Linked DNA regions of Sus scrofa. The protein of the gene in region 3 purifies or fractionates together with the protein of the main gene of each other region. This does not show direct contact. Links are inferred from orthologs where the notes say so. Each region holds a gene or a part of one and is shown on either strand. Other genes may lie near its edges.

The links. The genes of interacting proteins can lie anywhere in the genome.
Region 1: the proteins of INTS6 (region 3) and INTS11 purify together in Homo sapiens (affinity purification with mass spectrometry; 3 studies listed by BioGRID, with this or other methods). This does not show direct contact. The link is inferred for Sus scrofa from reciprocal best matches to the Homo sapiens genes INTS6 and INTS11.
Region 2: the proteins of INTS6 (region 3) and POLR2C purify together in Homo sapiens (affinity purification with mass spectrometry; 3 studies listed by BioGRID and IntAct, with this or other methods). This does not show direct contact. The link is inferred for Sus scrofa from reciprocal best matches to the Homo sapiens genes INTS6 and POLR2C.

What each region holds. Positions count from the first base shown.
Region 1 is NC_010448.4:63,605,095-63,609,250, forward strand, and holds the start of INTS11 (integrator complex subunit 11), read right to left. Parts: upstream 2,810-4,156; 5' UTR 2,687-2,809; coding exon 2,659-2,686; intron 1-2,658.
Region 2 is NC_010448.4:19,392,260-19,396,377, reverse strand, and holds the start of POLR2C (DNA-directed RNA polymerase II subunit RPB3), read right to left. Parts: upstream 2,810-4,118; 5' UTR 2,711-2,809; coding exon 2,625-2,710; intron 2,442-2,624; coding exon 2,392-2,441; intron 1,191-2,391; coding exon 1,122-1,190; intron 972-1,121; coding exon 919-971; intron 1-918. UniProt on the Homo sapiens protein: Core component of RNA polymerase II (Pol II), a DNA-dependent RNA polymerase which synthesizes mRNA precursors and many functional non-coding RNAs using the four ribonucleoside triphosphates as substrates.
Region 3 is NC_010453.5:16,441,275-16,444,786, reverse strand, and holds part of INTS6 (integrator complex subunit 6), read right to left. Parts: intron 451-3,512; coding exon 325-450; intron 1-324. UniProt on the Homo sapiens protein: Component of the integrator complex, a multiprotein complex that terminates RNA polymerase II (Pol II) transcription in the promoter-proximal region of genes.

The DNA.
Region 1 (4,156 bases), on a different chromosome or scaffold from region 3:
GCACAGGGGGAAGCGGGAAAGGTGCTGCCATGCCCTTCCCTCACCCCCGCCCTTGAAGGATGCCCTCCACTTGCTCCAGACCCCCTGAGCGCTCCGGCTGACCTGTGACGGCTGTGTAGACGAGCTGAGGGGACAGCACCTCCGCACGTAGACAAGAGAAACACCCGGGGTGGGAGAGCCGCAAGGCGCCAAGGCCACCACAGGCCCTTCCCCACAGGGCCTCCAGCCTCAGGCCCTGCCATTCACCTCTTTTTATTTATTTATTTGCTTTTTAGGGTCACACCCATTGCATACGGAAGTTCCCAGGCTAGGGGTGGAATCGGAGTTGCAGCACCTGACCTACGCCACAGCTCACAGCAACACCGGCTCCTTCACCCGCTGAGCAAGGCCAGGGATCGAACCTGAGTCCTCGTGGTTACTACTTAGGTTCGTGACCACTGTGCCCAGACAGGAACTCATCAGTCCCCTCTTGAGGCAGCAACCCACCCGCAGCAGACACCCACATCCTGAGACCAAGAGCTGAGTATCGGGTGCTGCACTGTGGTCCCAGCACTCAACACACGCAAAGCCAGGGCTACATCTGAGCTGCGGGGCCCCTGCCCCCAAGAGGTGCCAGCCCCTCCTGGTGGTGCCACTGCAGAGGGATGCCATGTGGCTTTATGTGGCCCCATGTCCCCAAATGACAAAAGCCCCCAGTGCTGTGCCCTCTCGGGGCAGCACCAGCCCAGACTGTAATCTGAGTCCCATTCACGTTCCTGATCTCCAAGCCCTACCGAGATGCTCCAACCCCAGTGGGGCACATCCCAGCCCCCTGATATGGCCATCTGTCACCTCCTCTGGAGTCTGGAGGCCCAGAAGGAAAGGGACACAGTCTTGCAAGGCCTGATGACAGCAAATGACCTGCCTTTCATCTTGAATCTGACCAGCCTCCTTCTGTGGCCACCTGAACCTTGCGTCCACCAGAGTGACCAGGCCACAGCCCAAAGCAGGACACAGGCTGGTCCTCAGAAAGCTTCAGTCACCCATGACAATACAAGGCGATGGCAGCCACGAGCTCGGCCTGTGGGCCTCGGGCAGCCCAGCCACAGGCAGTGGCCTCGCAGTCCCCCACAGGCCTGCTCCTGCCTCCACCATGAGTTCCCGAGGGCAGGGCTCAGCTGCCTGCTTCCTGCTGCACCTCAAGCCCCAAGCCATGACCAGCTCCAAGGTACTGCAGAATTTATGGGAGGGGAAGGGTCCCCCCTTCACAGACAAGGGTGTGAAGTCATGGAGCAGCCCATGGGCACGTGTGACAGTTTTGTGGACTCCAGAGCTCTGCTCCTGGGCATGGGCTGCCTGCTCCCAACAGGACCCACAACAATCCCAGGGAGCAAGGAAAGTGGCCAGAACTGGGCAGGGAAGGGTTGCGGAACAGAGCTTAGGGTGCGCAGGAGGGTGGGGAGGTGGGGACAAAGCAGACACTGTGCCCACAGGGAGCTGGGGTTTCAGGGCGAGGACACAGTGACCACCTAGAGAAGTCTGCACCAGATGAGATGAGCGCCTCCTCAGGAAACAGTAAGACAGGGAAACGGATGGGCACATCCTCCCTGAGAAGACGAATTCCGAGTAGTTTGGAGAAGGACCGTGGGATGGGAGGGCAGCTGTGCAAAAGCCCTGTGGTAGGAGGGATCCGGGAGGGCTCTCTGTATCTGGCCCAGTGACCAGGGACCCTCTGAGGCAGAAACTGGCAACGTATTTCTGCTCTGATGGTGCCAAGGTTAAGTGACACTGAGGGCACTCCAGGTGCAGATCTGGGGTTTAAAAAAAAAAAAAAAAAAAAAAAAAGCACTAAAAAGATAGGACTGCTCAGGAATGAGCGGTGAGAAGAGGAACTACATGGAAAAGGGTCAGGCGGGAAGGAGAATCTGCAGAGGCGGGGAGGGCATGGGGCTGAAGCAGCCAGAGGGGACCCTGAGCCAACAGCTAGGAGAGGCCACGCAGGTGAGGACACTTATGGCTGGGTGAGATGTGCGCTCTGACCCAGCAGGCCAGGGGCAAGGGTGTTCACTGCAACTGCCAAGAGCTCTGTGTCCACACTGGGGGCTGGGTGGGCTATTCTGAGGGAGAGCTCACCACAGAAGAAAGGATGTGGAGCTCGGGGGACGGTCTACGGAAGATGCTCCCAGCGCACGCCCCGGGGAAGGAGGCAGCTTCCAGCACAGACCCCACAGGTGCGCAGGGAGGCGAGGCAGCAGCAGCTGGAGAGTTGACCATGAAAATGATAACTTCGGCTGTTTCTAAGACGCGGGATTCTGAGTGATCCTTCCTCCTTCGCACTGTTTTGTACCTTTTGGGCCTTTAAACTGTGCACTTACATCTTTTGCGAAAAGCAAAGTTACCTTAATGTTGCAGCAACCACATAAAACAAGGTCGGGCGGGTGGACTGCAGATAGATACACGGAGGCTGCAGGAAAGCGGACGCCAGACAGACGGGGGACGGGGATGGGCAGGGAGTGGCGAGGAAGCAGAGACAGCAGCGAAGGCGCCCTGAAGCACCGGCGCGCGGGGGGGGGGGGGGCGACGAGACTGCGGGGGTCCCCGGCCCGTCGAGCCTCCCACTCGCCTTCCTTGCGCGCTCTTGCCGCGCCGCACGCACCAGACCGCCCGCGCCGCACTCACCCAGGGGCGTGACCCTGATCTCGGGCATCCTGAGCGATGGTGGGACTACCGCCGCCCCGCCAGACCCCGGCGCCGAGCCCCTGCTGCGGCCACGCGCACTGACTGGAGGCGACACATTGCGCAGACGCAGCCTCAACTGCGCCAGCTTCCGGTGCGCTCCACGGAAGCGCGGGCGGGCGCGTTGGGCCTTCTGATTGGGCGGATGGCAGCCAATCCTGGGCGGTGGGGCGGGGGCCGGGGGCGGGGCAGCGGGACCTGGGGCGGCCGCGGCGGCGCAGGTGAGCGGCGGCGGCGGCGCAGGTGAGCGGGTAGAAACGAGCTGCAGTCGGTGGCGGGGAAACCCAGCCCAACCGAACCCGGCGGGTGGGCCTGGACCTTGCCGTGGGACCGCGGGAGAGGGCGGCCGAGGACCTGCCTCCCGCACCGGCCCGGACCCGGGGTCCCTGTCCCATCCCTGGGCCTCAGCTGGAGCAGGACCTGCCCAGGTTGGGGACCCCACCTGGTCGGGGATCTCGCGTTCCAGCCCAGCGCCACCTGGAGCCTCCTTCCCAGGCGAGATTTGCAGGACTTCCTGGACAGGGCCTGGCTCACACCCTCTGGACCTGAGGTGTTGGAGGACTGCCCCATTTTCCTTGCTGTCAGCCACAGGGCTCCGGTGCTCATGCCGGCCTCAAGATGAGCCCTGACCTTGGGGCCTGGGCTGCCTCTGGGGGAGCCTTGGCGGTGCCCTGCATCACCTTCCCAGAGTTGGCATGCTGCCCGCCCCGGCTGCATGGCCACTGCCCTTCCTGTTGTTTTCAAGCTCTGAAAGACTCCTGGCACCTCCAGTTAGCTGCTGGCTCAGGTTCTGGGCAGGAAGGCCAGGCCCACAGGATGTCTGGTGACCAGGAAGGGAGCCCTGAGGGCCTCAGAGGCCATCTGCTCCGTGGACAGAAAACCGAAGCCCTGAGAGAGGGAGTCTCTGGAAGTCTCTGGAGTGTCCTCTTCCTGAGGCCAGGCATGGCTGTCTCCCACACCTGAACACAGGGTGAGCTCACCTCCGAGCACTGGGCCTGGCATCAGGCTTGCAGCCAAGCCTGTGGGGCCTGCAGGGCCTCAGCAACCCCTGGGCCCCATCAGATGCTCTCAGCAGTCCAGATGCTGGGCAGGGCAGGGTGTGCTGGCCCATTCTCCCCGAAGATGAAGGGCGGGGTTTTAGGAGAGTGTGTGATCTGCCCAGGCATCCAGGTGTGCTCTCCTGGCTGGGCTCTCACCACAGCTTGGACGGCTGCCCTCCCATGCCTGGCTCCCAGAGCTCCCAGCACCAAGGGTACAGGAACCCCCCAGGCCCAAAGGGACAAGAGCTTGTCCTGGACTTGACGTGAGATACAGCTGGGTCCCCAGGGCCTGTCGGAGCCACACCACAGGGAAGCATGGCACAGGGTGCCCAGAGGTATCCAGTAACATGTGGGCACTGGGATGTTTGTGGAGTGACTATATGTTTGTTTGTTGCTTTTTA
Region 2 (4,118 bases), on a different chromosome or scaffold from region 3:
GTTTGATCCCTGGCCTTGCTCAGGGGGTTAAGGATCCGGCGTTGCCATGAGCTATGGTGTAGGTCGCAGACGCAGCTCGGATCCTGTGTTGCTGTGGCTGTGGTGTAGGCCAGCGGCTACAGCTCTGACTAGACCCCTAGCCTGGGAACCTCCATGTTCCACAGGAGCAGCCCTAGAAAAGGCAAAAAGACAAAAAAAAAAAAAAAAAAAAACAACCATAAATTTACAAAATTAGCCACCAAAAAAAAAAAAAAAAAAAAAACCACACCCCTGGGAATACTAGAATTGCCATCAAGAAGGAAGAGTCTGTTACCTAATGCAGCTCTGGTGAAAAGATGCAGGTAACCTAATCCTTTCCTGCCCTCTCCCTAGTTCTAAGCCTGTTATCACATCACAGGAGCAGAAACAGGGCTCTAGAGGAAGGGAGCCATGTTTAATTAGCAAAACCTAGGAGTAAGGCATAAAGCTGGCAGACATCAGCACCCCAGTCCCTCGTGTGCTCCTCTGTGGGACAGTTCTCACCCCCTCTGCTCCCTGTCCACACCCACTAACCTTCTGCTGCCGCCCTTTGGCCTCCTAAGACCCTGCCCCTGGGAAGAGATGCTGTGGAAAGCAGAATGTGAACAGATCAGACGCTGAGGAGGAACAGCTCCACCTGTTGTGTATAAGTGGGCATCCAGGTGTATATCCACTCTTGTGTGGCGGGCTCTCAAAACCCCTTGATGCCCCTGGAGCCTCGTCAATCTGAGGCCCCATGAGATTTTAAGAACATAGCCTGCCCTGGGCTCTGGACAACATCTCCACACTGTCTTTCTAAAAGCTGCAAGCAAGGTGTCAGGAAAAATCCCTTTGAGAACGTGAGTTCCCTGCTTCTCTCGATTCCTGACCCCCGACCTCCCAAGCAATCACACAGCATACCCGGGAGTACTGCAGCTTGTCCACAATGTCGTCACTAGTGAGGGGGATTAATCCTGGAAGACAGAGAGAAGCAGTTTAAACAAGGTCAAGGGGCCAAGCCAAAGGAAAAGCCAGCAGTCCCCTTGGGAGTGAGGAGACTTCCTCCCCTGAAACCGGCAGAGCCCCACTGCCCTGCCCTTTAACTTCCCAAACCCAGCACTCACCAAGCCTGTGAGCAATGAACTCGTCGTGAAGGACTGAGGAATTGGCATCAATCTGAACCCAGTCAATTGCTAAAGAAATAAAGGAAGCAGAGCAGATATGCAGTTTAGCCACCAAATTCACCTGAAGGCTTAAGAACAGTGGTTCTTCAGATTTAAAAATTATCTAATGCTTACCACATTGCAGACACCAAGGCCAGGCTGCCAGAGACTGATTCTGCAGCTCTAGAGGGGGGCCCAGGAAGCTACACTTTAACAAGAACCACATGCCAACATGCTCAGGTGGATCTGATACAGGGAGTACCCTACACCACCCAGAAAAACAGCGACTTGTAGACTACTACAGAAAGGTGTTTCTCTGAGTTGACTATTTCTGTGGGAAGCACTCTAGTCTACCATTCATGCCATCACCAAATCCAAGAACACAAACTATTTGAACACCTCAAAGTTAAACAAATCTCACAAAAACAACACAGACTTATGATCCATAGTGCTTTTTCTCCCCCTCTGATTTTTAGGGCCACCTCTGCAGCATATGGAAGTTCCCAGGCTAGGGGTTGAATCAGAGCTACAGCTGCCAGCCTATGCCACAGTCACAGCTACTCAGGATCCGAGCCCTGTCTGAGACCTACACCACAGCTCACCGAAATGCCAGATCCCCGACCCACTGATGGAGGCCAGGGATCGAACCCACAACCTCATGGTTACTAGTCGGAATCGTCTCCACAGCACCACGACGGGAACCCCATATCACAATTTATGGTATAATGACCAGACTGATTGCATTCCCAGTGCCTCGCACCACTGCCTGGTACTTATAAGCTCTGTAAACTCAGTGGATGGAACAGATTCATAAAAAGATATTTACCGGTACTGAGCACTCACTAAATACAAGGCAATTAATAGAGATTACCCCACTTAATCCTTGACGTCACCCTGATAACTACTATTAGCGTCCGAATGTTAAGAGGAAATTGCAGCACAGTTTGATAACTTGCCTAAGTTTCACAAAGACAGTATTCGACCTCAAGTCTGCAAACTCCTGAACCTGTGCTCTTTACCTCGAAGAGTGGAACTGAGTGGCCCGTGGGAGCCAGGGAAGGGGCCACAGTGGCCCTGGGGCAAGAGCACGGGGTCCGATCAAGTCTCCAGCATTGCTGTTTTCGCAGCGCCCCCACCCTGGGCCCCAAACAAGGCTGGAGTCAGGAACGCCAAGGTATGGGGAGGTGGGGGAACTGGTGGCCCTGACCACGAGGAGGCGAGGGCCGCTTACCTATTATGGGCACCTCAGCGATGAAGACCCTCCGGATAGAATTCGCCACCCTAAGGAATGAAAACCAAGCGGCGCGTGGGCACCGCAGACTCGACAGCCGGCCCCGCGCCCCACGGCTCCCAAAGCAAAAGCCCCGGCTCCGGGGCCAGTTCAAGAAAGACAGACCCCCGCCCCTCCAGAGCCGAGGCCCCGGGCACTCTGAAGCCGCCAGCCCCTTCCCTCAGCACCCTTACGCCAGGTCCGTATTCTCGATAATGAACTTGACATTCTCGTCGGTGAGCTCGGTGATCCGCACGGTTGGCTGGTTGGCATACGGCATCGCGCCAGACTGCTCGCGGGGCCTTGGGGGTCGGTTCTGCTGCTCGCGCCCCTGCGCCTGCGCCTGCGCCTGCGCCTGCGCCTACGCCGCCACCGGAAGTCGTTCAGCGCGGTCCCGCCGCTTCCGCAGAGACACGCTCAGAGCGCCGCCTGCTGCTCGGAGGCCAGGCTGCTCCGACGTTTTCTACCCTCAACCTACTTCAAAAGGCACCAGGTTCAACCATTTAGAAGGCGACTTAGTAAAACATGCACACGCCCTTGACTCCACAGAAACACTTCTAGAAATTCATATGAGAAGTGCGTGCAGTTGTAAGCAAAGATACATGTACAAGGATGTTCATTGCAGCACTATAACAAAAAACGATAAATAAAACGGATTGCCCACTGACACAGACCTGGTTAAATATACATAGGAATACTATAACAGTGTTTTTGGGGTAGGTTGTTTGGGGGTTTTGGGGGGTTTTGGGGGGGTAGGGGGGGTTGGCATGTGAAAGTTCCTGGGCCAGGGATCAAACCCATGACACAGCAGCAACCTGAGCCACTGCACTGACAACAAAAGGCCTTTAACTATATATATTTTTTTCTTTCTCCTTTTTAGGGGTGCACCTATGGCACATGGAAGTTTCCGAGCTAGGGGTTGAATTGGCACTGCAGCTGCCAGCCTATGCCACAACCATAGCAACACCGGATACTTAACCCACCCACGGAGGCCAGGAATCAAACCTGAGTCCTCATGGATACTAGTCAGGTTCTTAACCCACTGAGCCACAATGGGAACTCCCAACAATAATGTCTTTTAATGAGGTTTGTACACTGATGGAGGAACAAAAAGACAGTCAGTCCTCCCTATCCAAGGGTTCTTCAAGAAGACTGAAAGAAAAAAAAAAGTCCATAGAGTTCCAAAAAAGCAAAACTTAAAAATTTGCTCACACCCAGCAAATATTTACATAACATTAAACATTGTATTAAGTACTATAAGCAATCTAGAGATGATTTGAATTATGTGGATGTGTGTGGATTATATGCAAATCTTATGCCATTTTATATAAAAGAATTGAGCATCCAGATTTTGAGAGGGGACGGGGGAGTTCTAGAACCAAAAGCCCAAAAGACTGAGGGATGACAATACTTTACATGTACTTAGCAAAATTTGCTTGAGTGATAGGTTTATACCCTTTCCCTTCCACTCCTAAGTCTGGATCATGCACTTTTGACACTGCAGGAAGATGCAGTTCTCTTCAACCTATCACCTCCAGTTCTGCGGAGGTGGGTGGGTTATGATCTCTTCATCTCTGCATCTCCAGTGCCTGGCAGTGTGTGTCACCCAGGGGCAATGTACGACAAAGAATTATGCAAGTCCCCTAAACAGTCCCCCTAGAGAGAAGTTTGAATAGGCCTCAAAAAGG
Region 3 (3,512 bases):
GGGACATGGAAGAAGTGTATATACTAGAGAATCATTGTTGCAAAACTAAAAAAGGAAATAGGCTAATCTGTAAATGCTTTAAAAAGGTTTTTGGCTCTTACAAATTCTTAGGGTTATGAACAACCAGTTTAAAAAGGTGATGCTACTGAACGACTAACATATTATCTTGACTTCCCTATTTAATCTTCCCTCTTTACTGACAGTCATTCTGTTATCTTATAATTTGGCCTTGTCAACGTTAAAGCCAAATCCTAGTAATTTTTCCGTTCTAGTTGAATACTTGATAAAGTAAGTTTAAAATGTCTGTTTAAAAAAGTACAATACCTTCTACAGGGGAAGGATCTGGTCCTGCTTTTTCAAAGTTTATTACTACCCCACTTTGTACTTTCTGCACCAAGGACTCCAGACACTGATTAAGCATCCTTGGAGAACATACAGAGTATGAGCGGCCTGAAATAAAAAGAATAAAGAGAACTTGTTAGTTGCAGAAATTACTACTTTTAGCAAAGAAGAACCCCAGTAGGATTTTTGACAATACTGATTTACAAAAATTCAATGATAAAGTTGACTTTTTCATCATCTAATGGAAGAATAACAAAACAAAAATAGTTGTCATCAATCAATCATGTAAATTTTTTCTTCTAATTAAAGGTATAAAGAAAATAGAAATCTTGGTCTGAACAAACCACAATGAAAAAAAATCACTACATATAATATATTGTGTGAGATGTGATTTTAAAATATATAAATATAAAAAACTATCTCCAACTGTTTTCCAATACAATTTAACTTTATTGTACATACACAGCATCTGATAACCCCCAAAAAATTTTACTCCTGCTTAAAAGAAGTATTATCACTAAAGAGTAATACTAAGGACACAGCAGATACTCAATAATTATTAATTGATCTGCTAGCAGGCACTGCATATTTTAAGTACTTGCACTTTAATATACAGATAGTAGCATATGGTTTTCTGACTACCCATCTTAAGTGAATTTCCCTCTTGTATATTTTAACATATATATATATATATATTTTTTTTTTTTTTTTTTTTTTTTTTTTTGCTTTTTTTAGGGCCGTACTCGTGGCATATGGAGGTTCCCAGGCTAGGGGTCTAATCAGAGCTACAGCTGCCAGCCTATGCCACAGCCACAGCCACGCCAGATCCAAGCCGTGGCTGTAACCCACACCACAGCTCATGGCAACGGCGGATCCTTAACCCATTGAGCGAGGCCAGGGATCGAACCTACAACCTCATGTTTCCTAGTTGGATTTGTTTCCACTGCACCTCTATGGGAACTTCCTGGGAACCTCCATATGCCTCAGATGTGGCCCTAAGAAGAAAAAAAAGAAAAAGGAAAAAATATAAATGGGAGTTGCTGCTGTATCCCAGCAGTAACAAACCTGACTAGTGTCTATGAAGATGTGGGTTCGATCCCTGGCCTTGCTCAGTAGGTTAAGGATCTGGTGTTGCCATGAGTTGTGCTATAGGTAGCAGATGCGGCTTGGTTCCCACACAGCTGTGGCTGTGGCTGTGGCTGTGGCATAGGCTGGTAGCTGCAGCTCCAATTCAACCCCTAGCCTGAGAACTTCCATATGCTGCAGGTACAACCTTAAGAAAAAAAAGAAAAGGAAAGAAAAGGAAAAGACACAAGTGCAAAGATTTCTTAAACCAGATTTTCAATAAATATATCTAGACCTATGCTATCCCATACTGCAGCCACTGGCCACACATGGGTACTAAGAACTTGAATCGTAGCTAGTCCAAATTGAGATATACAGTTATACACTGGATTTTGTAGATGCAAGATGAAAATAATGTAAAATACCTCATTTTTAAATATCATTTTCATGTTGAAATATTTTGTACATACTGATTTAAATATTATTGAAAATGATTTTTACCTGTTCTTTTTTAGTGACTATATAATTTATAATTATATATGTAACATATCATATTTCTATTTGTGTGCTGCTCTAGACCAGTGCTGAAAAATAACACCAAAAATCTTTAATCAAACATAATGTTATCTGTAATAAATTCAAAATGGCAAAATCCTATCTTTAACAAATTCAACAAATTATTACCAAACACGGTATATTCAATTTACACTAAACATGTGATTTGCTAAAGACTACTCAGGAAAGAGAGTATTAGGCAGTAGTATGATTCAAATCCTCAGAGTAAGCTTTACTTAGAAAAACAAGTATCACATAACAGATGGCTTACCTGTACACAACGAGAGCCATAATTATAAAAATATCCACCAATTATTGAGTGTCTATGTACCTGGCACTATTCTAATCACATAATTAAGAGTCTCATGTTCTACCGACCAAGCTTGTGCGGCGGCGCAATAACATTATTGTATTATTTTATCCTACCAACAATTGTATGGGTTACTTTTTCCATTTTCCAAAGAGAAAACTAAAGCACAGAGAAATTAACTAAGGTATCCAAGTTAGTATTCAGTAGTACAGCCAAGATTCAAACCCTTACAAGGTATATGAAACTTTCATCTGGATATACCTAGTTCCCTGAAAATCATAATGCTAATTCAAAATCAGTATTTAAAATAGGAAGTCTATATGGAATCATACTTATATGAATGAATTGTCAAATTAAAATCTTTTTTTCTGAGTAAATTTAAACATACACATAAAACAACACATTAAAAGGCTGATTGTCTTAAATCACAGAGTATTTAGAAAATTTTATAAAGGTTCAGTATCTTATTTCATGATATTTAAGGATATTCCCAAGATGTCATTAAAAAAAAAAAGTTTTTAAGTATAAAATGTGGCAATCCTCTCTCTACTCCCCTAACTTGTATCATTAACTAATTGATTAGAAAAATACAAGTAAATAAGTTATGACCTTTGCATGAAATAAAATTATTAGCAAAGACATTTTATAAAAATTGGAGAAAAAGTATATAAACTTGAAACACTTAGAAAATAATAAAAACCCATCAGTTCTTTTCAAAGTTAAAGCAAATTTTTCTATCTTTGCAAAGTGAACCTATAACCTATGTTATGTTTCTCTTATTCTTTATGTCAAAACTCACCTCCTGGAAATGTATAGCACTTTGTATTGAAGGATAAAATTTCTGGGATCCCTAATTATATCTGTGAGAAAAGCACACACTTTTAAGTCAAGGAGCTGGCTCACTTGTGGTTACGTAGGGTCCACAAAAAAATCTAAATATGATGAGTCTGAAGGCAGTAAAGTGAAAGAAAACAAAACAAAAACAAAACAAAATCTACTTTCCCCCCAGAGTATACTAGATGATGATTTTAATAAAATGGGTAAGAGACAAAAGGAACATTTCTAAGTTAGACAACACTCCTTATAGAGGCTAAGTTAAATTTTTATTTAATTGAAAAAAGTCTTGTAATTCTTGTAAAATGCTTTTTATCCTCAGTACTTCCACCAACATGTCCATTAGGCATGTTTTTATAATTTGATATAATCCCTGAGCCCCTCCTCAACCTGCTTCTCCTCTGAG